7 linked regions of the Oryzias latipes genome follow. The protein of the gene in region 1 purifies or fractionates together with the protein of each later gene. This does not show direct contact. Links are inferred from orthologs where the notes say so. Each region holds a gene or a part of one and is shown in the gene's direction. Other genes may lie near its edges. The genes, in order: sox2, supt16h, ssb, ilf2, myef2, hnrnpa3 and xrcc1.

Evidence for each region.
Region 2: the proteins of sox2 (region 1) and supt16h purify together in Homo sapiens (affinity purification with mass spectrometry; 3 studies listed by BioGRID and IntAct, with this or other methods). This does not show direct contact. The link is inferred for Oryzias latipes from reciprocal best matches to the Homo sapiens genes SOX2 and SUPT16H.
Region 3: the proteins of sox2 (region 1) and ssb purify together in Homo sapiens (affinity purification with mass spectrometry; 3 studies listed by BioGRID and IntAct, with this or other methods). This does not show direct contact. The link is inferred for Oryzias latipes from reciprocal best matches to the Homo sapiens genes SOX2 and SSB.
Region 4: the proteins of sox2 (region 1) and ilf2 purify together in Homo sapiens (affinity purification with mass spectrometry; 3 studies listed by BioGRID and IntAct, with this or other methods). This does not show direct contact. The link is inferred for Oryzias latipes from reciprocal best matches to the Homo sapiens genes SOX2 and ILF2.
Region 5: the proteins of sox2 (region 1) and myef2 purify together in Homo sapiens (affinity purification with mass spectrometry; 3 studies listed by BioGRID and IntAct, with this or other methods). This does not show direct contact. The link is inferred for Oryzias latipes from reciprocal best matches to the Homo sapiens genes SOX2 and MYEF2.
Region 6: the proteins of sox2 (region 1) and hnrnpa3 purify together in Homo sapiens (affinity purification with mass spectrometry; 3 studies listed by BioGRID and IntAct, with this or other methods). This does not show direct contact. The link is inferred for Oryzias latipes from reciprocal best matches to the Homo sapiens genes SOX2 and HNRNPA3.
Region 7: the proteins of sox2 (region 1) and xrcc1 purify together in Homo sapiens (affinity purification with mass spectrometry; 3 studies listed by BioGRID and IntAct, with this or other methods). This does not show direct contact. The link is inferred for Oryzias latipes from reciprocal best matches to the Homo sapiens genes SOX2 and XRCC1.

Annotation. Positions count from the first base shown.
Region 1 is NC_019862.2:18,600,784-18,604,516, reverse strand, and holds sox2 (transcription factor SOX-2), read left to right. Parts: upstream 1-2,017; coding exon 2,018-2,986; downstream 2,987-3,733. UniProt on the Homo sapiens protein: Transcription factor that forms a trimeric complex with OCT4 on DNA and controls the expression of a number of genes involved in embryonic development such as YES1, FGF4, UTF1 and ZFP206. Binds to the proximal enhancer region of NANOG.
Region 2 is NC_019876.2:21,325,935-21,330,899, reverse strand, and holds the start of supt16h (FACT complex subunit SPT16), read left to right. Parts: upstream 1-1,487; 5' UTR 1,488-1,781; coding exon 1,782-1,847; intron 1,848-4,583; coding exon 4,584-4,676; intron 4,677-4,754; coding exon 4,755-4,925; intron 4,926-4,965. UniProt on the Homo sapiens protein: Component of the FACT complex, a general chromatin factor that acts to reorganize nucleosomes. The FACT complex is involved in multiple processes that require DNA as a template such as mRNA elongation, DNA replication and DNA repair.
Region 3 is NC_019879.2:21,749,289-21,752,997, forward strand, and holds part of ssb (lupus La protein), read left to right. Parts: intron 1-535; 5' UTR 536-542; coding exon 543-602; intron 603-678; coding exon 679-782; intron 783-1,842; coding exon 1,843-2,017; intron 2,018-2,299; coding exon 2,300-2,407; intron 2,408-2,503; coding exon 2,504-2,607; intron 2,608-3,337; coding exon 3,338-3,409; intron 3,410-3,491; coding exon 3,492-3,534; intron 3,535-3,709. UniProt on the Homo sapiens protein: Binds to the 3' poly(U) terminus of nascent RNA polymerase III transcripts, protecting them from exonuclease digestion and facilitating their folding and maturation.
Region 4 is NC_019869.2:21,694,302-21,697,879, reverse strand, and holds part of ilf2 (interleukin enhancer-binding factor 2), read left to right. Parts: coding exon 1-33; intron 34-516; coding exon 517-633; intron 634-1,084; coding exon 1,085-1,163; intron 1,164-1,244; coding exon 1,245-1,332; intron 1,333-1,542; coding exon 1,543-1,604; intron 1,605-1,687; coding exon 1,688-1,802; intron 1,803-1,986; coding exon 1,987-2,077; intron 2,078-3,578. UniProt on the Homo sapiens protein: Chromatin-interacting protein that forms a stable heterodimer with interleukin enhancer-binding factor 3/ILF3 and plays a role in several biological processes including transcription, innate immunity or cell growth.
Region 5 is NC_019861.2:13,063,363-13,067,460, forward strand, and holds part of myef2 (myelin expression factor 2), read left to right. Parts: intron 1-498; coding exon 499-506; intron 507-598; coding exon 599-692; intron 693-1,515; coding exon 1,516-1,704; intron 1,705-1,822; coding exon 1,823-1,976; intron 1,977-2,049; coding exon 2,050-2,099; intron 2,100-2,178; coding exon 2,179-2,239; intron 2,240-2,611; coding exon 2,612-2,713; intron 2,714-3,014; coding exon 3,015-3,059; intron 3,060-3,142; coding exon 3,143-3,232; intron 3,233-3,345; coding exon 3,346-3,441; intron 3,442-3,624; coding exon 3,625-3,684; intron 3,685-4,098. UniProt on the Homo sapiens protein: Transcriptional repressor of the myelin basic protein gene (MBP). Binds to the proximal MB1 element 5'-TTGTCC-3' of the MBP promoter. Its binding to MB1 and function are inhibited by PURA.
Region 6 is NC_019879.2:22,672,060-22,676,296, forward strand, and holds part of hnrnpa3 (heterogeneous nuclear ribonucleoprotein A3), read left to right. Parts: coding exon 1-21; intron 22-120; coding exon 121-195; intron 196-333; coding exon 334-381; intron 382-498; coding exon 499-639; intron 640-727; coding exon 728-844; intron 845-2,220; coding exon 2,221-2,285; 3' UTR 2,286-2,300; intron 2,301-2,401; exon of another isoform or gene 2,402-3,720; 3' UTR 3,721-4,237. UniProt on the Homo sapiens protein: Plays a role in cytoplasmic trafficking of RNA. Binds to the cis-acting response element, A2RE. May be involved in pre-mRNA splicing.
Region 7 is NC_019874.2:25,082,923-25,087,362, forward strand, and holds part of xrcc1 (DNA repair protein XRCC1), read left to right. Parts: coding exon 1-160; intron 161-1,035; coding exon 1,036-1,152; intron 1,153-4,440. UniProt on the Homo sapiens protein: Scaffold protein involved in DNA single-strand break repair by mediating the assembly of DNA break repair protein complexes. Negatively regulates ADP-ribosyltransferase activity of PARP1 during base-excision repair in order to prevent excessive PARP1 activity.

The DNA of each region.
Region 1 (3,733 bases):
CGGGGGCTCCTCTCCTTCATTTAATATCGAATAACTAAAACAAAATAATAAGGGCTGATCTATTCGCTTTCAATTATGATTTAATCTAGAAAAGCTAAATTAAATTATTTCAGGTGTGCGGAGATACTTGATCTATTTTTAATTAGCCTTCTGGGATTGTCTGAAATGAAGATCATCACCAACGTCTGTGAACTTTGGCGGATTTTAAACGAGCCGGTGTCAGAAAATAGTTTAAGGCTGTATCTAAGTTGTGTATTAAAATGCACCTTTAAAACTCTATAATGTATTTGTTGCTGCTCTCCTTGAAAAAAGGCCTGAAAATGCGGTTGTTTGCTGTTCTCCTTCTGTCCACTAGGCGGCACTGGTGTCACGCAGCAGCACGCTTTGCGGCGTTTCTGGATGGAACTCTAAACAAGTGGCACAAACACTTTCAGCCTCATAAAACTTCACTTGTTTTCTGTCTGTTTGAGCCACGCGAGTATGTGGTTTGATTTCGCACTGCGTTTGATTCCAACTTCACCTCACAATAATCCCAGTCTGGCCGTTTCTTGATCCAGGACTAATTGAAGCGCAGGTGAAGGCCGCGTTTTGATTCCCACTAATTGGCTGACACACTTGTTGGAACTCCTATGAATGTGTAGATCTTTTGTGCGAACACACTTTCATCTTAAAATATTCCTCACCTTTCATTCGGTCCCTGTCTCGTGTCTCCGGTGCGCGTACCACGCCACAAAGACCCATGCGTAACTGCAGCGCTGGCACTGTGGAAGTGGAAGTGGAGTTGGGGTCTTTGTCCGGACAGATGTAGCGACAACATCCCAAACAAAACGCGCTTATTTGTGCTAAGATGAGGCCGTCTGCCTTCTGTGTGTGTTGGCATTCAACTTCACCTAAACAAAAGGACTGGGGGAAACATCTTGGATTACCTTTTCTCTTTTCAAGGCTAAAAAACGAGCCGTGGACACCCCCCCCCTCTCCACCTTCTTTTACGCACACATTCACCCCACAGCTCTGCTGTTCAGAGCTTTCAGTGAGTTAACTCACAAAGTTTCTTTGCGTGTTATGTTATTGGGCCATTAAGTAGGGTTGATTAAGTGGCTTTTTCATTTGGTCTGGATATGCCTCATATTTCATCTAAAAAACAATTTAGAATAAAAATAAATCTGTTCTTTTTTAAAAGAAATAGTGTCATGTTGCTTCAATATGTCTAATTTAATTTTAAAAACGTATTCAAAAAGTAGTCTTTTTTTTTTACTTGTACTTATTAACTTTTTACATTTTGAGCTTTTAAAAGTTACAAAAAAGTAATTTCTGATTTTGAAAATGCTGCATCTCTGCGTCGTATAAACTTCCACCTAAAAGGTGTAACGTATTCACAAAGCGCTATCAAACATAGAAATTCCCACAAGCAAGATGAAATAGTAAATATGTACTTAGTATTGTCTGATATGGGCAGCAGGAGCCGGAGTGTACGCCTGTGCCTCGCTGCGCTCCAGACTCCGCCCTTTTCCGACCACACGCTCTCCCATTGGCGCGCGGGGCTCGCTCTGATTGGTCAGGCCGAAGCCATTTATTCACTGACAGCCCCTTCACATGAATGGTTGTCTATTAACTTGTTCAAAAACTATCTGGAGTTGTCAAGGCTCAGGCGGACTGAGGCGAAAAAGTACAGTTTGTTGATGCTTTTTGCGAGCAGCCGCGGGAGAAGTTTTGTGGACACAACATTGCCGGGACGTGTTGGGAGAAGGCTCTCTGTCACACACACTCACACACACACGGTGTGACACGCTGAGTGGGAGTGAGAGGGGGAGAGTGTGCGGAGACGCGCGGCTTGATGCTCGTTGTTTTTGTCCAGAGAAAAGTTGCATAGAAAATCGGCAGGTAACTGAAAGCGCTCGTGCGCTCCTCTGTCTGCGCTCAGCTTCTGGAGAGAAGCTCCTTTTTTTTCTTTTTTCTTTTTTTTCTTGTCTTTTTTTTCTGCTCGGGAGCTCCCAGCGAAAAGTTAAAATTTTCCCTGATGTATAACATGATGGAGACTGAACTGAAGCCCCCTGCTCCCCAGACCAACACGGGGGGCACGGGGAACACAAACACGTCCGGCACCGGCACCAACCAGAAAAACAGCCCGGAGAGAGTCAAAAGACCCATGAACGCCTTCATGGTGTGGTCCCGAGGCCAGAGGAGGAAGATGGCGCAAGAAAACCCCAAAATGCACAACTCGGAGATAAGCAAGAGGCTGGGCGCAGAGTGGAAACTTCTGTCAGAGAGCGAGAAGAGACCTTTCATCGACGAGGCTAAGAGGCTGAGGGCCCTGCACATGAAGGAGCACCCGGATTACAAATACCGGCCCCGGCGGAAAACCAAGACCCTCATGAAGAAGGACAAATACACCTTACCGGGCGGGTTGCTGGCTCCTGGAGGAAACGGTATGGGGACCGGGGTCGGTGTCGGGGTAGGGGCCGGCCTGGGCGGTGGGGTTAACCAGCGGATGGACAGTTACGCGGCGCACATGAACGGCTGGACCAACGGGGGCTATGGCATGATGCAGGACCAGCTGAGCTACCAGCACGCAGGTCTGAACGCGCACAACCCGAGCCAGATGCAGCCCATGCACCGCTACGACATGAGCGCCCTGCAGTACAACTCCATGACCAGCTCCCAGAGCTACATGAACGGCTCCCCGACGTACTCCATGTCCTACTCCCAGCAAACCACGCCGGGTATGACCGCCCTGGGCTCCATGGGGCCCTCCTCGGTGGTGAAGTCCGAGTCCAGCAGCTCCAGCCCGCCCGTCGTCACCTCCTCGTCTCACCGGGCCGCCCCGGGCTGCCAAAGCGGTGATCTGAGGGACATGATCAGCATGTACCTGCCCGGGGCGGAGGTCAGCGAGCAGACTGCCCAGACCAGGCTACACATGTCCGGCCACTACCAGAGCACCGTGCCCGGGACGACGATCAACGGCACGCTGCCGTTAACACACATGTAAGGGACAGAGCGCAGGAGGGGGGCAAAAGCAGACTTTTATAAAAGCTACTGTGGACTACTTAATGTTGGACTATTTTTGTACAGAAAAAAAATGGGTGAGAAAAAGTTGTATAGAAATCTTCAAGAAAAAAAGGGACTTTTTTTTCTTTCCTTTTATCCTAAGGAAGCATAGAGGAACGGTAGATCCCCTCTTCACTGTTGGATGAAGTTTGGAAGACTAGAAAGTGGGAGTCGCAATCAAATGTTTTATTATTGCAATCACCTTTTGTACAGTATTTATCAAAGAAACATTACAATCAGATGAAATTGTTTGTTAATCTGCAAGAGGTTGCATTTTTATTTTCCTTTTTTAATTATTATATATATATATATATATAAAGCTGGTTCTGCAGAGAACATTAAAAGTGAAAAATAGCAGAACAAGAGTAATGGAAGTGATCAGTTATGCTTCCAATTAAAACATTGGAATAAAAAGGGACAAAAGATGCAGGTATTTTTTTTTTTCATTTAAGGTCTATATTACTAAACATTTTTTATTTCATTAAAAATGTAAGACACTTCTTTTTTTGTCATACAATATCAATTTTAGATTGTTAATTTATATTTCCGTCTCCCACTTTTCAGCTGTTAGCGGTATGACGCTTGTGCTCATTATTTTCTAATTGATTTGTAAAATTTCTGTATATTTACTGTGATATTTTAATTTGAAAATTTTCATTCCCGTAGTTGTATTTTGAAAACTTGTGGC
Region 2 (4,965 bases), on another chromosome or scaffold:
AAGTTTGCTTTTAAGGGGAGATTTGTGCTCAAAGGTCTTTTTTTTGAAGAGGTAAATTTAAATTAAAAGAGGTCAGCTCTGACAACACTACTTACCATGAGGGAAAAACAGTTGTTTTCTTTGCAAACATCAATCGCGTTTGGCTGTGAAAGTAGTCCAACAGAGACTAAATGCTTTGAAAAAATAAAACTTCCCAATGAGACTTATTGATGCAGTTATTGGTCTGATTTATTGTACATATCATGGAAATGTTTTTAATCATGAAATAAAATATTTTATGTTGTAATATACATTTTGACCTCATGATTGCAGATCAAGAACCAATTTAGTTTGATTCATTGACTGTATGGGTCAGCATAGAAATGTAAACTTAGGCCAACTTGACCAATCGCTGCTTACCGATTGTCTGGTTCCAACATCACGACAGCCGTATATCAAAAAATTAGCAGCCGAATGAGCCTTAATTCATTGGAAACAGAAGCAAGTCATGTTCTATGGGTGATATCACACTCACTTGATCCAGTTCTCATTTACAGTCAATGGTTTGATTCTAAGCTTTAATGTTAATTTATTAACCTTTATTAAAAAAAAATTAACTTCAACAGCATTTAGATTTTCACCCTTGTCTATTTTTTGCAAGGCTTTTTTTAAAAAAAACTTTTTTTTTCATAATTGGTTGACAGGTGAAAATATTACAATAGACTGTTTAAATTGAAATTCTGTTAGAAATAAAATGTACTTGAGTAATAAAAATTAAGACTTCATGATCAAAGGATTGATTTGAACCACAAAATAATTTTTCCACAACTGCAAACTCTTTAAGATGAAACCCCATATAAATCGGTTATATAAGTTATAACCAAGATACCAACACCGCAAGGAGAAGAAAAAAAATCCAATATGCTACTATATGCTACAATTGTTTAAACTCTTAGATTAAACCCCTCACAACTTTTGTTTTATTTATTTTATTTTTTCATTTAATTGATTTCATGTAAGAGTTCAGAGTTTTGATGTGCTCTATGTGTTCCTTTACTGTTGTTTCAACATGACATGATAGTGTTTTTCTGAAGATGGAGACGTCTTGATTTTAACATTTTACAATGATTCAATAAAAAAAACTTGTTGAATTTCCCCCGCAAATCTTGGAGGCTGCCAAGTGGACGTGGTATCGCGAGATTTACGTCAGCAGAACCTTTCGAAGATGGTGGCGGGAAAGGTCCTTCGTGGCGGGAAAGATTGATAGTCAACACACGGCAGGGGGCGCTGTGGCGACACTGCGGTTTACAACAAAATACGTCATTATGAATAAAATAAATGTATTAAACGCGTTGAAGTAAAATAAAAATGGCAGTTTTATTTTGAATTCTGTTAGGCTTACTTTACACTTTTATTCAATGGTTACCATGGAGATTTAGTGGATAAGTATACTGATCTCAATGATGAATATGCACAGAGGGGGAGGGAAAAGGCTCGGACTGTAGAGAGGGAGGGGTGAGCGTCTAATTATAACTGATTGGTGTATGAAAACAGTGGTAGATGAACAGTTTGAATTTGAGTAATTTTGATCATTTTCTTAACCCGTCGCTGGTTCTTGCATGAGCGCGTAGCTAGAAGGTTGCGGTTCTTATAAAGCCGAGCGCATCTGCAGTCAGTGCCGTTCGGACCTCGGCAGGCGTGGAAGGAAAGTGCGTTGTTGTTAGCTCACCATCATCATCATCCTCATCCGGCCTGCTGGGGAGGCCAAGCCGGGAGCTGGAGTTCGCAGCAGAGCGCTCGCCATGGCGGTTAACCTGGACAAGGAAGCGTACTACCGCCGCATCAAAAGGCTATACAGCAACTGGAAGGTGAGCCGCGCTCGGCCCGGAGCGGGTCGGTGTGCTGCAGAACCCGGTTAGAGGTAATTTTTGAGCAGAAGACATGATGAAGCCGCTGTGGGAGCCCAGAGAGAGTTAGCCGCGGGTTCACACCGGACCCAGCGGAGCGTTGAGGGTGCGAACGCTGATGTTCTCCAGACCGTGCAGTTACGGGTCGGTGTTTGTTTTGCGAATCTTTTAGGACACATTGGTAAGATACCCGCAGGGATCCTCGGTCCCGCATGCGACTGCCTCATGTTAGCACTGCGGTCCTCTCATTCAGTCAGTGGGTTAGCTAGTCTGCTAACTTGTTAACTTCACCAACCAGCTAACGGAGTACGACGGCTTATGGCCGCTCTTCATCGAAATGGACACACACATTTCAATGAAATGGTTCCGATAAAGTTCTACCGATCACAGGGCTGAGTGAGTTGAAGCTAAAGTTCAGCTGCTGCCGGTTTGCACTTTGTCCCAGCGCTACATGCTAATCTAGGATGCTAACAATTAGCATCACAGCATCAGCATCCCGGCTCCATGTGAAGCGCGCGGCGCCAGCATGGGACTCGTTTCTGCGGCATGTGCGGGTTTGGAAACTCAATTCTTACAGATGAACTTTTATCCCAGACCAAAGTTTCAGCTTCATATATGCTGCCTTTTTTCACCTGAAAACTTTAGGTTATGGTTCGGGTAGAGTAACAGGTTACTAAGTTACTGATAGAAGCCCCTTGTGCTGTGAGGAGTTTAAGGTCAAACATCACAACCAAACCCCTAGATCTATTTGTTTCACAAACTCAGGATTAGATTGTCTTCCATTCATCATCAACCCCTGCTTCATCCTGATCAGGGTCTCTGTGGCCCCTTGCAAAGACAAGCACAGCACCCCCCCCCCCCCCCCCCCCCCACAATCAGTCCCAGAACCACAAGACCCAAACTCTGATTTAGGCCAGTCGTGTGTCTAAACTGTGGGAGGAAGCCACAAACTTGCATGAATGGCTTTCCTCTAATGTCTAATCATGCCTTAGAGTGTGTTCATTTCAATAAAGTTTTTTGTTGACCCAACCTTGTAAAGGAGCAGAACTCCAATGGAGGGCAGCTGAAAGTGTTTTATTTGCCTCATTAAAGACTGAGAGATTCCAAAAGCCATTGTTCATGATTAAAATGTTAAAGAATGCATAACACATTTCCAAGTTTGTGTTTTTAATTAACACAGTAGTACTTTTATGAATCATCCAGGGAACCTAAAGATGCATTTATTTCAGGGCAGAAAGTTCCGAGCTGAGGTTATAACGCCTCTTAGTCTAGTCAGATCCCTGAAAAAGGAGGAGTAGAAGGTGAATGCACACCAAACCTGAGTGGAGGGCTGGGTTATTTAATCAATCTCATCGATACATTTGAATTTGTTGTGTGTATATTGATAAATCTGGATTTTATTTTCACAGCTCTCTTGGACTTCTGTTGTTCAGAGTAAGGTCAGCCTGCCCATTTCTCGCTATGCGCAGACATGAAAATAGCAGATCTGTTTTTTCCCCAGTTATTTATTTATCCGACTATACGTTTTTCCGGAGCACAAGTCGCATCAGCAAAAAAAAAATGCATAGAAAAGAAGGGGGGAAACCCCCCCACATATAAATCGCTCCGGAATATGTTTGTAGAACAACTCTGCCAACCCCGGCGTAATACTGCATTCACACCAAACCCGATTCATGCGTCACATCTGTGTTTGCTGCCAAAGCAGATGCTCAATGCTTGTCCAAAAATGTGTTCATCGGCTGGAGGCGCTTTCACGTGTGGTAGAAGCTACTGTCAAGTTTTTAGCCTCATCGCTACATAGAAGCATTGACCGGATAACTCTTTCACAATGAAATGAAACGACAAGAGATATTTTGAAGAGTTCTACAAAAGCTTCAGTAAACACATCTCCATGGCTGGGTTCATAAGACCTTTCAGTCCTTTAAAAAAAAAAATGTCTAGCAATCTTTTTTTTCCACTGCGTGTGAATGATGGCGCTTTCAGCTGTACTTCCTCGTCTCTGTAACCCAGTTTGATGACTTGCTGTCCCGCATTAGTCGGAGGAAGGAAAAATGAAAAACAATAATAATGTCTAGATGCAAGTAAGAAAAATATCACAAAGCTCAGGAAGACGACGATCAGATTCTCCTCCATTTTTTGTTCTTAAAGACGCTGCTTCATTCATCTCTGTTGCTGTCAGTCACAAATACCGATGCATACACTTACAGTGCCTTCTAGCAGCAACAACCGCTGAAGAGCAACTGGTTGTTGGTGGGAAAATAACACATATGAGCCTGTTCATGTTAAAAAAAAATCACACAAGTCTCTCCTGAGTGCTAGTTCACTGTGACTTCTACTCTGAAAAAGACAGTTAAATGGAACTCGTTCAATTTTGTGACTTCAGACTTGGAGCAACAAATTGCATGATGCAAAAAATGTGTGAAAACTGTTGCTAACAAAGGTAGAACAACAGCGAATTAGTTTTTTACACCTGAAGCAGGTGAACTCTCAAAGGAGATGTTAAAGTGATAGTTTTTTTTAGATGTAGTTTGTCATTTTTGTAAAAAAGTATACTGAGAAAGGAGGAAAAAAAAAAAAAGACAGTTAACATTGGAAATCACATTTAGTGGGAAAAAAGTCTTTTTTTTTTTTTTTTTTTTTTTTTTGGCTTAGCCTGACCGTAATTCCAATGAATGTGTGTCTTTGTGTACATTCTAGAAAGGAGAGGATGAGTTTGGTAAAATTGATGCCATCGTAGTTTCTGTGGGGGTCGATGAGGAGATCGTGTACGCCAAATCCACCGCCATACAGGTGAGCTTCCAGGGTCTGAGGGGAGGCCAGAGACGGGCCGCCGTATTTTCAGCTGACCGGCATGCTTTTGGCCCTCAGACTTGGCTGTTTGGCTACGAGCTCACGGACACCATCATGGTGTTTTGTGACACCAAAATCATCTTCCTGGCCAGCAAGAAGAAGGTGGACTTCCTCAAACAGGTGGCTGTAACCAAAGGCAACGAGAACGCCAATGGAGCCCCGCCCATCACTTTGCTCACTAGAGAGAAGGTGAGTCGGGGAGTTTTTCATGTAGAGCTGTCAGACTTTG
Region 3 (3,709 bases), on another chromosome or scaffold:
GATAAATGGAGTCTATGTCTGCAACTAACTAAAGAGATTATTTTCTCAGCATAAAATCTTTTAATAAAAAAAAAAACAATATTATTTCAAGGACATGAGAGGGGTTGGTTTTGGTGGAGGATGAAGAGGATAGGAGTAGGTAGAGGTGGATGTTTCGCCATGGTTACCCTATTATCAATGGTATTGAGCTCCAACACCAAAAATAACACCAGAATTTCTTGTTTTTATTAAATGTGAAGAAATCAAATATTAGATTTTCTGGAAAAGCTTTAATATTAATTCATTCATTTGAGAAGAATATCACAGGAACTTTAGAATGTTGTATACTATAGTAAAAATGTTTTTTTCTTTTTTTTTAATAAAATCTAATGAATGAGCTTTAATATTATTGGAATAAAACAAGTTCCCCCCCCCCCCCCCCCCCCATGGGGATAAGATGGAGCAGTAAAAGAATTTAAATCTACGTAATATAGTGAGAGCATCTTTGATCAAACATTTTGAATCCACTGGCATCTTAATTTTTTGCTTTCTACAGAACAATTATGGCTGAAAACCAAGAAGAAATGTCTCCAGTTGAGATGAAAGTGGCGAGACAATTGGAGGTAATTGAGATTTCAAATGTACTCTCAGGAAGTGTATGCATTTCTATATTTAAATCAGTTTTCTGTTCTTACCAAGTATTATTTTGGAGATCACAACCTTCCGAGAGATCGGTTCCTGAAGGAGCAGTTGCAGCTGGATGATGGCTGGGTTACCCTGGAGACCATGCTGAAATTCAACAGGTGGTTTTATTTTTTTTAATAGCATCCAACTCCAAGTAAACATTTCCTTTTTTACGTTTTTTTGGTCCTTTACCAACTCTGTCCTAAAATCTGTGTAAACGGAAATAAAGGAACTTTACATTGTTGGGCTCTTTGGCGCCCTCTTCAGTCAGAACTGTGATTGCATCCATTTCTAGGATTTTTTTTTTTTTCTAGATGATTGTTTTTGAACATATCACAGTTCATGTTATCTGACCAGACGATTGCATTTACACAATCAGGTTACATTCCGTTTAAATCGTATAATCTGAGAGCAGGCTGGCTCATCATTCGATCCCAGCCTTAACAACTGATGTGCATGACCTTTGTCTTTTTAGTTTATAGGTTAAAAGGTCAGCTCACAGATGCAGATCTGCAGGGAAGGAGGCAGCAGTCCTTCACCTTGAACCTGTAAAGTTCTGCTGCCTTTACTGCTGCTCCTCAGGACTGTGGAGAACTAGAAGCAAAAGAACTATTTCTCATCACTTGCCTCATTCAGCAGAATAGACTTGGAGACAGAGCAATTTCTAGGATGGTTAACATTGAAAACAGTTGTGTTGCATGTAAATGAATAACTCCAGTTCAGATGTTTATGCTGCTTTTCGGATGGCATTTTTCTGTTTTAACCCATTTTATTAAAGAGGTTAAATGTTTTATCTACAACATTTGATTTCATTGGATGGTTTTTTTTTTCTTTACATTTTATTGTGGAAGAAGATTAAAGGGCATTTAGTGTTGCTTCAGCAAAAGACATAACTCCAAGTGTCACCCAGATCATCTAAACACAGCTGAAATGCACCGATTCCACAAACAAAGGGAATGTTGATGGATTGACTCACAGAAGACTCACATTAGCTGTATGAAGTTTATATTTGCTGTGTTTACTTTTACCAACTCATGTATTCTCTGAAACAATTCAGCTGTAAAAAGAAAAGATTTTGAGTGTTTTTTTTCCTTTTCTTTATAGAAATCCCATAGAGTCATGTTGTTTTCTTTTCTTCGTCAATGGTTTTGTTGAAACTGGTGTGTTTCTGTTTTTTAGACTGAAGTCTTTGACCACAGAGAACAGCGTCATCATCTCCGCTCTGCAGAAATCAAAGACCGGCCTCTTGGAAATTAGCGAAGACAAGACTAAAGTCAGGAGATCACCGGACAAACCTTTACCAGAAGTGAACGATGAATACAAAGACGCAGTAAAACACAGATCTGTGTACATTGTGAGTTCTTAAACTGTATTGACATTCCTCCTTCTAGATAAACCCAGTGTGCATCTTTAGAAATGTATTTAAATCCAGACTACAAAAGGTCTTTATATTATGAACAGAAATAAGACAACCATTGAGAAATCATAGCAGTGATGTAAGAAATTATGGGATCGTGATACAGTTAAAGTCATTACCAACCAGGCTGTATATTTACTCTACATGTTCACAGCTTTTGTATTTGTAGTCACACTTTTTGAAACTTATTTCTAAATCTTTTTTTGTCCCCCTTTATAGAAAGGTTTTCCTCTTGAAACAACTCTGGATGAGATCCAGGAGTGGCTGAATGACAAAGGAGACGTGGAAAACGTTCAAATGAGGAGAACCCTGCAGAGGAAGTTCAAGGTAAATCTGCTGTGAATCACTCATCGTTACCTTTTAAATAATTATATCAAATTAGTATCAAATGCGAGGTTACTTATGAGTTCTCTGTCATTCCAGGGGTCTGTGTTCGTATGCTTTGGCAGTGAAGAATCGGCTAAACAGTTTTTGGAGCGATCAGACATCAAATCATTCAAAGACAATGACATGCTTGTGCTGTCGAGGTAGGTTTGTTGCCTTTCAGTGTTTAAGAACAATCTGTCAATAAAATCTGCCATTTTATCTTTTGCAAAAGGGGAAACTTTTAAAAATCCAAAGTTAAACTATAAATCAAGCCACACAGCCTCTACTTTTTACTTTTGTGAAAGGAGTGATGCAGAAATCAAAGAACACCGTTGAGTTGATTTAAACCAGGTTAGAAAACGATTAAGTTTGAAGATTCTTTAGTGGATCCGTCCCTCACCAATCATTGATAAAAGCTGGTTTTCACCACCTTGTCCAATACATTTAGGGTTTGTATTTTTTTTAATGTGCAATCAGATTTATGTGAGTTAGGTGATCATATAGTCGGATAATACACTGAAAATCCTGTTACAAAGTGGTGTGGGATGCATAAGCCATGTGTGTTCAAACCTCATAAAGTTTGACTTTTTAGCAGAATTCTTCCATGACTATTATACAGGCACAGCGCTCTGTTGCCAAACACAAACAGCCATTTGACACTACCGCTCATAAAAATGAAAAAAAAAAAACTAAATTCAAGTAGAAAGCAGCCGACATCAGTCCAATATGAGAGTAGATCTTTACAGTAAAGAATTGGAGGATTTAACAGTTTTGTGATTTAGCTGGAAATCCATTCAATCCCTCACTCATGTTCGACTTAGTTCTTTGGTGATGGTTGTTACATTTGTGGCTTTTCCAAATATTGAAACTATTTTAACATGTTTCTTGCAGGGAAGCCTACCACGAAATGAAGGCAAAAGAGAAAAAACAGTTCAAAGTGGAGACCAAAGCTAAAGCCAGACAGTAGGAACGCCTGCTTTATATACTTATTGGTAGCTTTTATTTTGAAAACTGAATCTCATTTAATACTTTTTTTTTTCTTTAGGGAAAGGGAGCAACAACAAAAAAATGCTGAAGAAACAGAAATGGTAAGCTGCCCCGAGTTTATACAAATACTTGACATATGTGTGAATAATGCACATTATTTAAATGCATAGTTTTTTTCCATTTCTGCACCAAAAATGCTTGGCTGAAATTACTACGTTTTTTTCGGTAAAACTGTCGTTTTCTAGAACAAAGTTTCTGCAGAGCGACAATAGTTTA
Region 4 (3,578 bases), on another chromosome or scaffold:
TGGAAACTCTCCGCACCCAGGACCCTACTGAAGGTAAATCACAGAGATCTCCTTCAATGAGTTAAAGCATCAACGTGATTTACAAGTTTACCCTAAAAATTGCTTCTGAAAATTTATTAAAGCTATTGTAAGATTTGCAGGAACTTTTTTTAAAGCATAAAAAATAATTTAAGTCCTACATCAATCATCTTTTGATCTATTGTAAAATCGTTCCCAGTGGTCTTTTAATTATGGTTATAGAATTTTTAGCCAAAATTCTAAAAACCTGCTGTTTTCTAGGACATTTTCTGCAGAGCGGCAATAGTTCATCTGAAACTCGCCTCTAACTTGTGGGTGGGGCGCGGAAGTAAACCTCCGCTTATTTCCTATCGTCACTTTTGTCCACACGCTATCCTGCTAGCTTACAGATGCTCAATACCCCAACCCTGTGCTGATTTGTGTTGTTCTTTTCTGTTAACTGTGTTTAACTGTGGGTGACTAAAACTGTTGTTTTTCTGCGTGTGCTCCTCCTATCAGTTCTGTCCATGCTGACCAATGAAACCGGATTTGAAATAAGCTCGGCTGATGCTACAGTTAAGATTCTCATCACCACCGTTCCACCCAACCTGCGCAAACTGGATCCAGAGTTACATCGTAAGAGAGCGCACACCCGCACAGCACTTTTATAGGAATGAGGCAGGCTTGTGAAATAATTGATCAATGTTGTTTGAAGAATGTGGTCTGAGCAATCATCTACTTCTTGTTGACTTTAAAGTTTGACAAATGATTCTTTGTTGATGAAAATCTATTGTTTTAATTCTTTAAATTTTTGATTTCTTCGGCTCTTATAGTGAACCAATTATTTAGCAGATTGGTGTTTCTGTCTGAGTGAAAAGTTCATAACTTATAGTGTTGATATTTTACAATAAATCGGTGTAGACTTACAGTTTGGACCTCTCCCAACATCTGTCAAATAAACATCTGTGGGTTCAGAAACTTGAGTGGAGCTGTCAATGTATCCATAATTCTGGTGGAGGTTTGATGTTCTGGAGGCTCTACACATTCACTTTACCACCACAAAAATGCTCGTTTTTTTTCTTTCTAGTGGACATCCGAGTGCTGCAGAGTGCTCTGGCTGCCATCCGCCACGCCCGCTGGTTTGAGGAGAACGCTTCTCAGTCGACGTGAGCGCCCCGCTCGTCTCTCTTTGTGTTTCTTGACGTGTGATGAGTATCTGTGAACTGTTGCACGTTGATGATCTTCAGGGTCAAAGTTCTGATTCGCCTCCTGAAAGATCTCCGACTGCGCTTCCCTGGATTTGAACCCCTCACCCCCTGGATTATTGACCTGCTGGTAAATCACACTGAAAAATACACAAGCACAAGAATCACGTGTTAAGAGGATGCAGGAACTGACATTTAGTTTTTCCATAACGCATTTTTTTTTTCAATTAAGCATAAACAATATTGCACATTTGTTGTGTGTGTGTACAAACATTTTGAAACCATTTCTTTAGTGAAACTGTAGTAAGCCCTGCTAATCTCAGTCTATGGTTCGTTGAAGGGCCACTCCGCAGTGATGAACAATCCTTCCAGGCAGCCTTTGTCCCTGAACGTGGCCTACAGGTTGGTGTTATCTCTTGACGGCTGTGATTTCTTTAAAATGAGCGACGACACAAGTCACCCTTTCCTTTTCTGCCTCCCTAAAGGCGCTGCCTGCAGATGCTGGCTGCCGGGCTTTTCCTGCCTGGCTCTGTGGGCATCACAGATCCTTGTGAAAGTGGGAACTTTAGAGTTCACACAGTGATGACTTTGGAGCAGCAGGTAAACCCGGTTGGCTTTACTGCTTCATTGTGAGCATGAAGAGGTGTCTTTGTTGTAGTTTTGTTCTGTTTTGCTATAGTTAATGTGGAAAAATGTGGAAAATACGCAGTCAAGATAAAAGGAAAGCCAACAAAATGTCTGTCGCGTGGATTGATCCAATATTTCTCTTTTTTTGTGTTTGCAGGACATGGTTTGTTTCACAGCTCAGACACTGGTCAGGGTGCTCTCCCATGGAGGATACAGGAAGATTCTTGGCCTTGACGGAGACGCCAGCTGTAAGATTTTTTTTTATCTTTGAGGGATTAATGAAAAAAGTCTTGTACTTTAATTCAAGGTGTCCCTAAATTAGTTACTTTCAAACATGACTCTGTCGCCAGTTCCAATGGATTTGGCACAGGGGCCACAAATGACGAGCTAAAGCTCCAGCTAAGCCTGATTGAATGTTCCTCCCCACTAGCTGCAGCATCTGACACCTTGGCTTCAAAACAAAGGACCATTAGCCTATCAGGGAACACCACCACAGTAACCCCACCTCCTCTTCTATCATCCTCATGTTATTTACAAAAGTCCAGGGCAGCAGATTGCTAAAAAATTGACCGTTGCAGCATTTTATGGAAGCGTTTTTTGTCTCATAATTAGAAATAAGTCAATACCCGAAATGCTTTTTCATTTTCACAATGAAGCTGCCTTTGTTGACTCGAAAGAAAAAATAAATCCGCCTATAGGCTTTTACTTTTTCTTTTTCAACACTGCTCATTCTGTAAGGAAGCAAACAAGGAAGTAAATAAATCATTAAAGTAAAAGTATTTTCAGTTTACTGGAATAAGTTCTGAAAAACAGATTTTGTTTTGAATAAAGCCAAGAATTTGAATAGAAAAGCATAATGAATATGACATTGCAAAGATGCCATGATCAATTATGTGGCATCATATGACTGTCTGCTAGCATGGCGGAGAATCATCACACGTCCACAAAAGAGCCCTAATTTTGTTGCACTCTCTAGGGCAGTGTTTTTCAACCAGTGTGCCGCGGCACACTAGTGTGCTGTTGGAGATGGTCAGGTGTGCCGTGGGAAACTGCCCTCATTAACTGATCCAAAATCATTTACCATCTCCAGGATATCAGCTCTGTGTTCATCCAAAAAGGTCCTGATAAAACACTGAGTAGTTAGGAATATGAAAGATCGTAAAATTACTTTTTCTTTGTGTTTATTTAATTCTATTAAAGACATTTTGATAAGAATGACGGTACCGCGATTTACCTGCTATAACAGTTTACGGAAAAGTCCCGCCCCTTTAACTGTCTCCGCCAATCATTCTTGAAGGCTTAATCACATGTCATCCGTCTGACCAATCAGAAGTGGTTAAAGTCTTCACTTCCTTGTCCCGATGTAGCTCATAAAGTCGCTCAGTTCTAACAAAAATACCAGCTAAAGCTCATCTTTAGCGGTGTAGCTTTCCACAGAATCCGGTGTCAGACCGTGGAAAAAGTGAACAAAACCATGAAGCTCAGAGACATCTCCCATGATGCATTGGGTTGACAATTGTGACAATTGACAATGTCTCAGTGTACAATGAATCTTCCTTTGACGGCTTGAAACCACAACGAACACACATAAAACAGTTTTTAAATCTTTTACTTAACTTTTATTACATCTTTTACAAAAAACAGCTGCAGGTTCCAGCTTTTTCTGCCACAATTATCACAAAAATACATGCAATATTGCAGAGGGGCTGTAGATCAATACAGACTATGAGTTTCTCCTTTTTTTTTAAT
Region 5 (4,098 bases), on another chromosome or scaffold:
GTCTTGAAAGATCTTCTAGTGTTTTTTCATTATGTTTCACATTAAACTGCTTAAGTTTCTTGTATCTATTTAAATGTGAACCACCGTTTTTCCTTTCCCTTTTGACTAAATTGGTTAAAACTGAACAATGTACTCAGTAAAATGGTGGCATGTTTTTCTTGCCATTAAAAAAAGAAAGAAAAATAATAAGTTAATTTCCAATGCATAACTTGGTGTTTTAAAAAAATGTATTCTAGGTAAACATTTGTCTTAAATTATTTTAGAAAATAGCTTTTTATCTTTTAATTTGATTAAAATTAATACAATTAAAATTGAACAATTTAATTAAAAGCTAGCTGGCTTAAGCTAGTGATAATGGCCAAAATGCACCCAAGAAATAGAAGAAGCATGTTTAACACATTACAATTCAAATGTTGTCATGGTTTCTCATGTCTTAATGTTAAACATATTTTTATTTGTTCCTTGTGTGCCGCCTCAACTGCCATGTCCTGCGATCAGGGTTGTGGGTAAGACACAGCAATATTATTCTGATTTGAAAGCAAACTTTGGTTTTGTGGCTTTCATTTGCTCATTTTGTTCCTGTTGTCTCAATCAACAGTGTTGTGGAGTTCAAAGATGATGAGTTTGTGAAGAAAGCAGTCTTGACAATGAACAAGCATGACCTGAATGGAAGACCACTCAACATAAAAGAGGTGAGAATGAGATTCTAGCTAAATATTACAAAACCTTTTTTGAAGCTAATCTTTGCTATCTGCTGTTTGGCTTAATATATGAAATAATTACAACAAGGTTTAGCTTCTTCTTTTTGATATTTTACTTATTTTGTTTTAGCAGGTAATGCATGATGTCATATGCTTAACTCAGTTATGCAAATATTCAAAAATAAGCAGCGTGTAAACTTTAAAAGTTTTAGAAAATAGACACAGTGGTGGTTTTGCAGTTGCTTTTAAGTTGTTGAATGTTTTTTTTTTTTTTTCTTGTAGTTTATGTTATGATAATAATTGCAATGTTGTTAAAACATTTGGCAGAGACGTCTTATGTTTGATTAATAATAAAACAAAAATGAATTTAGAAGTTTAGACTTCATGGAATCTGAAGATATTGAAATATTTACTGGTGCACCAAAAATGCTTGTAACTAGCTATAAATGTGTATTGATTCTTCACTCTATCTTCTGCTTTCAAGTGTCTCTACAATATTGTCTAGTTGAAAGTGATGTTCAAAAATAGATCAGTATCCACAGTCTGTGGCTCAACTGCACAGGAGGAATTTTTAACTAATGTTAAGAATGAAACTACTAGCAGGTTTCCATCTTTCAAAAAGAGTTTACTCTGTGTGCTGTTGAATGTTGGACAGTTTCCCTTTTAAGGTATTTTATACTTGTCAGTCACATGCCTAAGGATTTCTTGGCAACAATTCTAATTGCAATAGACTACAGAGTATTTGGAAGATTTAATCTTAAGTTTGTTCCTCGATAATATTGAATGTGTTCAATTTTTACTTGTTTTGTTTCAGGACCCTGACGGGGAGCATGCTCGGCGTGCGTTACAGCGCATAGGAGGTGGACAGGGAGGTCGTGGACAGGATATGGGACCTGGAGGGATGAACCTCCCTCCTTCCATTGCAAACAACCCTAATATCCCACCTGAGGTTATCCATGGTCTGCAGGCTGGAAGACTTGGCAACACAGTGTTTGTTGCTAATGTGAGGACAAGCCTCTCTCTTTCTTTGTTGTTGTAGTTTGTTCTTTTTTCTTTTTTAAATTAAGCAATCAATCCTTTTTTCTCTCCAACAAATTTTACTTATTTTTGTTCATCTGCAGTTGGATTTCAAGGTGGGCTGGAAGAAGTTAAAGGAGGTGTTTGGCATGGCAGGTGTGGTGAAACGAGCAGATGTGAAGGAGGATAAAGATGGCAAGAGTCGTGGGATGGGAACCGTGACCTTTGATCAGCCACTAGAAGCTGTGCAGGCTATTTGTATCCTTAAAAAAACATATTTCTTCCAAAAGAAAACATTCCTTGATGTTAGTTTCCTTGACTCTGCTCTCAGCTATGTTTAATGGACAGATGCTCTTCGACAGGCAGATGCATGTTAAAATGGTTAGTTTTTTTGTTTTCTTTTTGAAATGCGTAAAGCAGTAAAAACAAGCCCAGATATCATTTGATCTCATTGTTCCAGGATGAAAAGTCTCTCCCTCCTGATGATTTCCCTCCCATTGAGAAAGCCCCGCAGTTACCACGTGGGTACACTTATTAAGCTGCATATACTTGTATGAACTTCCATGAACACATTATAGCAATGTTTTCAGAGTTTTGCCCCCCTGCTGGAATAATTGAAGTATTTTAATGTGTTTGTAGGACATTTTCTGTGTTGACGGTGATGTTAAATCTTTTCTTTTAAATCTTTGTTTTCTTATCTGTTGAATAGATGGGAAGATTTTGCTTTTTGCATTAAAGCATAATCAAAAATTCCTTTTATAGAAAAAGTTTGAGTTTGAAAGTTATTATGACTTTGGGTTAAAAAAAATCTATCACTGTGATCACTAAAAGTTATTCACTCTATCTATTATAGTTAAAAGTGGATGTGTCTGTCTTCTATCTTTGCCCTGCAGGGGGTCTGGGTGGTATTGGCATGGGTCTCGGGCCAGGAGGCCAGCCCATAAATGCAAACCGTCTGAGTGGAGGTGGAGGGATGGGGTCTATGGGACCTGGAGGTCATTCTTTTTTTGATTTACTGTATTAATGAAAAACCCCTCAAATCCATTACAACACAGTTTTAAAAACATGCCATGATGGCAAATGCATAAGCCGGGAGGTGTGAATAGTTGCCAGTGGGTCTGAACCTAACAGAAATGGGTTCAATATGGTCCTGAAACATAAACTTAAGTGTAATGTTTTTAGCTGGTTTTGCTTCATACATGAGACTTGGCTGAAATGCTGTCCTGTGAATTAAAATTCATTAAAAAGTAACCAACATATTGTGCTGCTTTCTCATTGGTGCTTTCTGTAATCCAGGTATGGATGCTTCTGGTTATGGTGGGATGAACAGACTCAGCGGAGGTGAGGTTTTCAGCTATCTTTTCATTTCCTGTAAGACACAAATGTTTAGGAGTCATAGTTCACCTTGACACTGGGTTTGACAGGAGGTGGAGGCGGCTTTGGAGGCATGGATAACATGAACAACATGGGTGGCTTTGGAGGCCGAGACATGGCACCATCTGGCAGAATGGGAGGTAAGAGATCCATATATTTGTAGCTCAAAAACATTATCACAGATATTAACAATTATCAACATTATTTATGTTTTCAGAGAATTTATTTATAATTAGACTTTTTTTTTTTTAAGATATGTACCGACAGGGAATGGGTGGGATGGATCGAGACTTTGGCCACAACGACATGCCGATGAATCGAGGATTTGCAGATTCCTTTGGAGGGATGAGTATGTTTTATTTGCACTTAAAATACACATACAGAGGTTTACACATCTCTGTGTATTTGCTTTTCAGAAATAAAAATTACTTGTTGCTTTATGTGCTGTTCTGCTCTTTATTGTTGGTTTAGATGCTGTAAAACTGTTGTAAAATTCCATAGTATCTGTAGTAACCTGCTTTCTCTGCTTTAGGTGGAGGTTTCAGTGGCGGCATGGGCGGTGGTGGCATGGGCCACATGGGAGCTGGACTAGGTACTGGACACATGTCACAAATGTTATTTAGATGTGTGATATATCGAAATATCAAAAGGAGTCCTAAGTGCTCCGGAAGCAGTCTTGAATAGGATAATTGTAGATTCACAAAAGAAATTCTAACATTTTTTGTTCTTTGCTGCATTATTTTATTCTTTTGTGACGCTGAAAGAACTTGGAAAAATACAAAAATATTTGCAGCAAGAAGTATTTTAAAGAATACAATTTGATGGAGATGTATTGTCATGTAGTGGTTAGAACTGCCCTGGTTCAAATCCCAGCTGGTACCTTTCAATGTGAAGTAGGGCTGGGTTGATCAAATCGATTAATTGATTTGATCCAAGCTTAATGTATCAATGATTGATCCATAAAAGTAGAGATTGATCTTTTATACCTTTCCTTTTCCGGTGACCT
Region 6 (4,237 bases), on another chromosome or scaffold:
ATACTATATCCAGTAACCGAGGTAATTATGTCGAAAATTGACGGTTTCTGTGGTTGGTTGGCAGCTAACAGTTTGTTGAGGAAAACAATACATTTTTAATTGTATCGATCTTTATCTCAGGCAGGAGTGGAGGATCAGGAAACTTCATGGGTAGAGGAGGTGGGAACTTTGGAGGCAGTGGAAACTTTGGACGAGGTACGCCACATTTTTGCTCTAATAGAGAAGACATTTTACAAAATAATAATCTGTGCTAAATGTTGCAACTTGGTTACAAAAATGCATTCAAGTGAAGTGGAAACGAAACATAATCTTAATATAATCTTTTTTGGTTAGGTGGTTATGGTGGAGGACGTGGTGGCTATGCGGATGACTTTGACAATGGTGAGTTACACCAAACTGATTTGTGATCATTTTTCCCTAAAAATGTGTCCCCAGCAGCGCATCAAAATGGTGGAAGCTCCACCTATAAGAATACACTGGTTTAATTGTTATCAATAGGTCCAGGAGGAAACTATGGCGGGGGGCCGGGCTACAGAGGAGGTGGAGGCGGCGGCTATGGGGGAGGTGGTCCAGGATATGGCAACCAGGGTGGAGGATTTGGTGGCAACTGTGACGGAGGTTATGGAGGCAATAGTGGAGGTAAATATGCTCTTATTTCCAAGTCATGAACATATGAAACTTGATATGTTTTGTTTGTTTATAATAAATGTTTGCATTGGATTTTTAGGTTATGGAGGTGGTGGAAATTACAATGACTTTGGAAATTATGGGGGGCAGCAGTCGAACTATGGGCCCATGAAAGGAGGTAACTTTGGTGGCAGGAACTCTGGTGGACCCTATAGTGGTGAGAAGCTCCAATATTTTTGGTATTGTCTTCAATGACAACAACTGACACAATTTCCTGAGATGCAAATAAAATAGGACTTTTTATAATAAGGATCCACACTTCACTTTAAAAAGTGCTTCAGTTTAACTGTGTGCTGCAACAAATAAAGCATGATTTAAAGTAGCATAAACTAACATTGGGGAGCAGGATAATTACACTGAGCTGGTTCAATCCTCTGACTAATGATAGATTTTTTGAGTTAATAACATATGTGGCTCCTTAAAATACATATTTGCCTAGTCTGCGGTTACATGTGCAAAATGTCTTTGATCGGATCAAAGATCAGGTTAGAATTGAACTGTGTACATAGTCCCAGAAAAACTTTATCCGATTATCACACTGTTTACATACACCATACTTTTGATCCTCTAAAATACCAGAACGCAGTAGAAGAAGAAATAGCGAGTTCTGTTGTAAACAAACAAAGCTACAGCATAGAGCGAGATGATCTTCAAAGTGTGCTTTTGTTATTGTTATGATTACTATTAAGTGCTTTCTAAATTCATGTGACCAGTGCTGTATTCTTGGCTGCACGAACCCGGAAGAAGAGTTAGGATTAATCTATTATCTGCCTACAGCATTTGGCCGTGCATGAACTTAAAATCCATGCGGGCAATGCCGCAATGTGTATATGTGGCAATGACATCAGCCTTTACTTTGTCTGGACATGATTGGAAAAACAAATCCATGCGATTATTTGCTCGTTTCTCAGGACTGCTCGGAGCGGCATTTCTGCTTTAAAAAGCTGCTTCCGCCAGCTGACACACCTTCTGAAAGCCGCTCCTCTGCTCGGAGACACGTATCTCCTGAGTCCAGCAGCTCGCTCATGCAGAGCAGCCGGACGGACTACAAAGCTTTCTCCGGAGCGCACACCGTAACAAAGCACCCTCCCCTACCCGCACAAACCTACGAGTCCGGCTGCTCTGCGTAGAGACATGGTTTGCTCCCGCGGAGCAGCCGGCCGGTCCTGTTAGCGCTCCAAAGCCTCTGGAGCGCCACACCATCTACGCATGACAGAAAAGCCAGCAGTAGTGACCCACAATCGGAATAAATTGTTTACATGCACCACGATTGAATCAACAATCGGCACAACCCTCCTATCTCGATCGGAAGGAAATATTGATCCGAATGAGGCTGATCGGTGCAGAGTATTCCGAACGGCGTGTTTACATGACACATTCTTATTCTGATCAGGCATTTATTCCGATTACTTTTGTCCATGTAACTGCAGCTACTGACAGTTTTATTTCTATGTACCCCTTTGATATAATTTGTCTCAGCAGTGTAGTTTCCCCTGAGGGAATAATAAAGATATTTTTCACTCCAAATTGCAGGTGGTTATGGCTCTGGGAGTGGCGGTGGCGGCGGCGGCGGTGGTTATGGCTCACGGCGGTATTAATTCTTGGTTGTTTTGGTAAGTAGCGTTCAGTCTGGCAGCAGCCTCGAAGCACAGTTCAGAGTGAGCCCATGAAAGTGCAGATTAACTATTTGTCTTATCCTGTATCCATTCAACAGGCTTCAGTTCTTAGCAGGAGAGGCGAGGAGGTGAGCAAAGGAGTTGTCAGGAAAGCTGCAGGTTACTTTGAGGCAGTCATCTGAAAGCAGTAGAGGAACACAGAAGTCAGACATTACTGCAGCTTATCCAAGAAGTGTATGGAAGGAGGACTGTATGAACAAGACATGAGTGCAGACGATGTCCTTTCCTATTTCTCCTAGATGTGAACCTAATGAGGAAGTTTTCCTTTCTGTGTCTGAATTGTGTGTATTGTGCCTATTGGATCAGGGGTAAATTTTCTTTCTTTTCTTTCTTTTTTTAAGTCCTACATATTTTTGTTTAAATTTTTTATATTGGTTAGTTTTATCATAATGACCAGTTAAACATACATTTTTGATCTTAGCAACTGTCAGATAGCATAGTTATAAAAGGCCCTTCAAAAGCCAGAAGTAGTTGTTTCTTCCCTCCTAATTTATTATTTCCGAATTGCAAGTGTCAAGTGTGTATTGATTTGTATGTAAAAGCACAGTGTGTAACTTTTTCATAGTGTCAGTGTCAACAGAAATAAACAGCTTAGATTAGAACTAAGGGAATCCCGCACTTCTCATTTCTTCCATTGAAACAGATTCCAGATTGTTCCCGTATTTTTGGTTAGTGAAAGAAACGACTGAATAAAGTTGTTTAGTAAAGTAACACAAGATTCAGTGCATCATTGGTTCGGAAAAAAAGCATGCATGCTCATTGTGACTGTGGTTAGCATATCAGCCTTTTCTGACTTGTCCCAAATTTGGGATTGTTATGAAAAACATGATGGTGTCTGTTCATATGTGCAATATTCTGTGCTTTCACGGATACCGTCGCCATTTTAAAAGGGAGGTTTGAATAGTTCCAGGGAAGGGCCCCGAGTGCAGCTTTGCCAGTGTTGAGAAGGTAGGAGTATGAGAACCACAAGCTCCTGCAGTTTGGCCCTCAGCGTCGCTAGTGTGGAGGATGACAATCAGACAGGACGACTTCAGCCCCAGCACAGTGGACCAGTCAGCATTTTGAGAGAGAAGGGAGAAGGCAGCATCGAGCGCAACGGCCATGGAAGGAAGTTTGCAGTGTCATGCCTGGTAGTGAGCATCTGTCTTTTTCCAAGGCTAGCTAAACTCCAGCAGCTGGTTCTCGCCAAGAAAGACTAGGTCCTGGACTCACTGAAGATCCTGTTTAGTGAGATACAGCAGTTTAACCTGCAAATACTAGATGTCAGACATTGAACAAGAAAAGGGAGCCAATATTTCACAAAAGCTGACTTGAGAAGATGGATCAGGTAAGAGTAACCACTTTGCTTGATTTACAGATGTGGATTTGGGCATTCTCTTCTTGCCGAAAATCTGTAAAGACCTGATAACTTGGAAAGTTCTGGATGGGTAAGACTTTTTTTTTTTTTTTTTGTAAATATTTTTCAAGGTTGAATGTTGATTATGTACTGTGTGGTAAGGCGTACAGGGAAATAGACTTAAGGTGAGAATGGGAGGGTTCTTAAGTCGTCATTCAGGTTCTTTGAATGACCAAATTTTCAATTTCAATTTTCAAAGGTGATTTAGAAACATTCTGTACAAAGGTAACTGACCAAGAAGATATGAATCTAAAAACCTGGACATAAATATATATTTAGCTGACACTAAACATGCAGGTCTGAGAAGATGAGACTGTCTTCAGCCATGGAGACACCGGGCGTGTGACGTGTGTTCAAAAGTGCGCCCATGGTGTTCACACTGGATAAGCAGGGAGGGGCTTCTTCTTTTCCTACTGTTTACTAACTCATGTCTGCCACGGTGGGTAGAGTCTTCATGCGAAATGTCAAAGCGCCGCAA
Region 7 (4,440 bases), on another chromosome or scaffold:
CCCAAAGTGAGCAGCAGGTCCCGTTCAAGAAGATCATGGAGGGGGTCGTGTTTGTGCTAAGCGGCTTCCAAAACCCCTTCAGAGGGGAGCTGAGAGAAAAAGCCCTGGAGATGGGAGCCAAGTACCGCCCAGACTGGACGTCCGACTCCACACATCTCATGTGAGCAGTTAAAAAAGGGAAATCGGTTTGCTCAATGTTACGTTTTTCATCAACATCAACAGACACTTGGGTTTGGAACTATCACTGTGAGCGAAATAAGCACTAAAGCAAGACAAAATCCTCATTTTACACAACAAACGTTACATTTAATGGGCCATTAGCTCCCTAATGAGGAATCCACCTCATGCAGTTTATTAGTTTGCTGCTTTCCTGCAGCCATGAAGTGTTATTTGCTCATCTGACTATTTAGGTTTAAGTTAAACTGCATTTTTACATCAACTATAGTACTGCCACATTAAACAGGCATTACTCATGAATTGACTGAGGAGAAAGGGGCGGCGCAGAGACGTGGTTTTACAAGGACAGGGTAAAGAGATAAACCAAGAACAGACTCCTGGATAATCTGCAGCACTTCAAGATATGAACATATGATGAAGATAAGCAAAATACACCTTTATTTATGAAAAACAGGAAGCTTTTTTTTTTACTTCCTCCAGTTCTATGGCTGATATTTATTCACTTATTTCAATGACCTCTAAATATTTCTGAATAATAGTTGCAAGTGTTAGAGCGGGGTGACCATGATGACCCCAGCAAGTCATAAAAAACAGGAAATCTTATCTTTAAAATGCAGAAGTCCTTTTCTAGTGTTGCTTTTTTATTATTTTTTTTAGATGTCCTTCACCTCATTTGTCTTTTTTATCACTGAAACAGATTGTGCGATTGCGAAACATCTGTGTCAGTTTTTACATAAATTCCGTCTGATGGCCTCCTTCAAGCTGCCAGAGTGATGGAACGACCTTGTGGGCTCGTCGGTAGTGATGTAACCGTGTTTTCTTTGTGCACATCTGTCCCGTTGCCCCATTAATCCTCAGCTGCGCCTTCGCCAACACCCCCAAATACAGCCAGGTGAAATCGGCGGGGGGCATCATCGTGCGGAAGGAGTGGGTGTTGGATTGCCACAAGAGGAAACAGAAGATCTCCTTTAAGCGGTGAGAACATGGTTCTGTTCTTTCAAGTGAAACTGCTCTTATAGAGGCCCGGTTTGTGGACCCAGCCAGACGAACAGCTGGATGGGACATTGCGTCAGTTTTAAAAGGGCGCCGGAGCACGGCGAGCGCTTGGCTTTAGCCTGGAACATGTGTTTTGCCTATTCTGCAAATGCATATCTGATTAATACTTGTGTTTAAGCCATGTCGGTGGCTCTGGATCACACAGTCTCCCGCAGCAGGGCTTCCCACTTTTTGCAGAGAACGTGGTAACCTTGAGCAGATGAGCCCCGCTGTGATCACAGTCAGCCCACTGAGATCCAGCAGCTCTCTAATTTTATGCCTCATTACAGGGAGAGCTTTTGCAGCATCAAGGTCTTCTGTCAGCACTTCTCAAAAAAGAAGAAATCGTTGTGTACTGAATAATGTAGGTATAAAGGTTCATCTCTTTAAAGAAGAGGAATTCATTGGCCTGGACCTGTATTTTCCAATATAAGCCTTTGCTGTAATATCAGGCTGTTCTGTCACGCTTTGCTCCTCCCAGTTTCTCCAAGGTTGACTTTAATAGAAATATATTATGCCCCTTATTCACAAGCTGACACAGTTTGTTGAGGTCCGGACAAAAACCTTCTGTGATGTGCTTTGGGTCACAGCAGGCCTTTCAATCCTGACAGCTGGCTGTAGAGTGTAGAGGGGGTGGGGGGTGGGGGGGGGTTGCAATCATTTTCCGAAACTGCTTTGCTGCAGACATCAATGCTAAACACATGGAATCATGTCAACTCTCCCACAAACCAAATAAAGCGATGGATGAAATTCCAAATCCTTTATTTGCTCAGCCTCTTAACGTTTTGAACTTTCTGTCTGGCTTTGGGGAGAATATGTCTTTGGAAATCAGCTGTAACACTAAAGACAGATCAACACTCCAAGCTATTTGATATTTGTAAAGATTTAAAATCTTGCTTTTGGACATTTTATCCTGAAGTTGTTTTAACTTATCTTTGCTCTACAAGCTTTTCTCAAAATCTGCACAGTCGAGAATTTCTTGTCTCATTAAGAACTGGGATTTAGAAATGGAGAACTTGTGAGTCAAAATCCTTTTGCTCTATACTCTTGACAAAAGAAAAACTTTCAAACTGGGAGTTTTGTAATCGGTTGCACCCCTAATCAATAAAATATAATCTGATACTAAAGAGGAAAGTTTTTATTTTCCAGTATTGTATGTTTTTGTTTGTTGTGGTTTTATGGAACATCAATGATAATTTCATTGGTAGAGTACCGGTAGTTGTATAATTAATGGATTTATCTATCTATCTTTACTAACGATGGGCTTTGGATGTTCTGGTGTGAATTTCTTTTTGAATCTATTGATGACAGAATGATTTGACAAACAAAACATGGAATCATTTTCAGGTTTGTATTTGAATTAGGCTTCAGATCACGTTCTTTGCACCAGTTCTCGTGTCACGTGATTGTGGGAGTCTCTTGTGGCCGGGGCAGCCGGTGTAATGATGAGGAGTTTTCCCCATGATCCATGCAAGAGGGCCTTCAAAGAGGGAGCGGAGGGTTATAAATAAATAACGCTTTGGGCTTTGGACTCAGTTCCTTTAAAATTCTCAAAAACGAGTTAAAATAAGTTGAGTGGAACCTGGGCTTTCCTTCTCCCTTGTGCTCGCCTTTCTCATCATTTTCTGACAGCAGTGGAGAAATATGGCTGCAGTTCTCCCCCCCACCCCCCATTTCTCTTGTTGTAAGAATAATCCATTCCCCTGCCCAGCACCCCTATTGTGCCGCCTGTGGAGTGTACAGCTTTGATGATGTATCCTTTATTTAAAGCCTGCATCTGCTATGGGTAATTAAAAGCACCACTTACTTTGATGATGGTAAGTGCCAAACAAATCGACGCGCTCACCCTCAAACTGTTGCTTCACGGGGCACTCTGCTGTCGCTGAGCATCTGGAGGTAAATGTGCGGCGTCTGAGCCCCTGATGCGCGTGCTGGCGACTCGCCGTATGCATTAATGAGCACCCCCGCTATGCTTCACACACAGTCATTAGCCATTGAGCCAGAGGTTTTAGAGGAGAAAATGACCAAGAAAGCTCACCTACAAAGATGGAATCTTTTGGGACATCTCATGTATATTTATATTGCATGAAGTGGGTTTTAGAGATATTTTACCATCAGACTTGTTAGTCGCCATTATCTTAAAAAAAGAAGGATTTTATCTGGGTGTAAATCAGAAGTGAGGTGTGGCCACATGTGTATTTTTTAAAGTACTTTTACGTTTGAAGTTTTAGAAATTAAAAGCACAGATGTCTCAAAAGTAACTAACTTTGAGCCACTCAAGTAAGTCATCAAGGACTTTTTTTTAAGATTGTCCTCGCCATTAGGAGGTGGGGATTGCAGACTTCAGTGGTCTAATTGGGGCTGAATGGGGGGGTTGACTCACCCATCCAGGGATCTAAAGTTGCTCAAGTTATTAAACATCTTTGCAGTGTCTGAGCCTCAAGAGGAAGATGGGATTTTTGGCTGAAAACGTCAAAATCATAATAAAAAACCCACTGGGAACTCGATTAAAATAGGGTCTTTAATAATTACTATTGGATTTACTGAAAGGTTTTTCGTAGTACTTATACAGTACTTATACCTAAATAGACAGAGATGATAAAAACTGAATTGATCCACAAAATTATTTTAAAATCTGTTGATGGGAGTTCTATCAGGGAGTTCTCTCTCTCTCTCTCCTTCTCTCTATATAGGTGCAAAATGGTTACAAAACGTTTTACTTTTTTCAAGACAACTGATAAAATAAGGCATTTTAAAGTCAACTTGGCTTTAATATGTGCTCTTTGATCTGAAACATAAATAGTGACACTATTTTCCATAAATTCTCCAGACAGAAACAAAAAAACCTTGAAAAGAAGCGTGTCGACCCAACTAACAAACGGGATTTCACTTGTCTTTATTAGAAATGCCAAGATCTGTTGGCTCAGATTCTTCTTAAAAAAAGAAACCATTACTTAATTTAGCCAATGATTAAATAGGAAGTATTTTCTGTCGTGTAATTTAAAGATCACCGTCTTGATCTCCTCTCTAGTGCCCCTTTTGAACAGTCTGTGGTCATGAAACTCGATGCAGCCTTGAAGCTTGACCTCCAAGTAAACACTGTGACCAGGTCCTGCTTTTGTCAGATGCAACGTTTGGCTTGGATTCAATCTTTTACATCGAAAACGAGCCTTGAAATTGTCACCCATGCCTCTGTGTTGTCCAGACTAAATTATTGCAGCTCTTTGT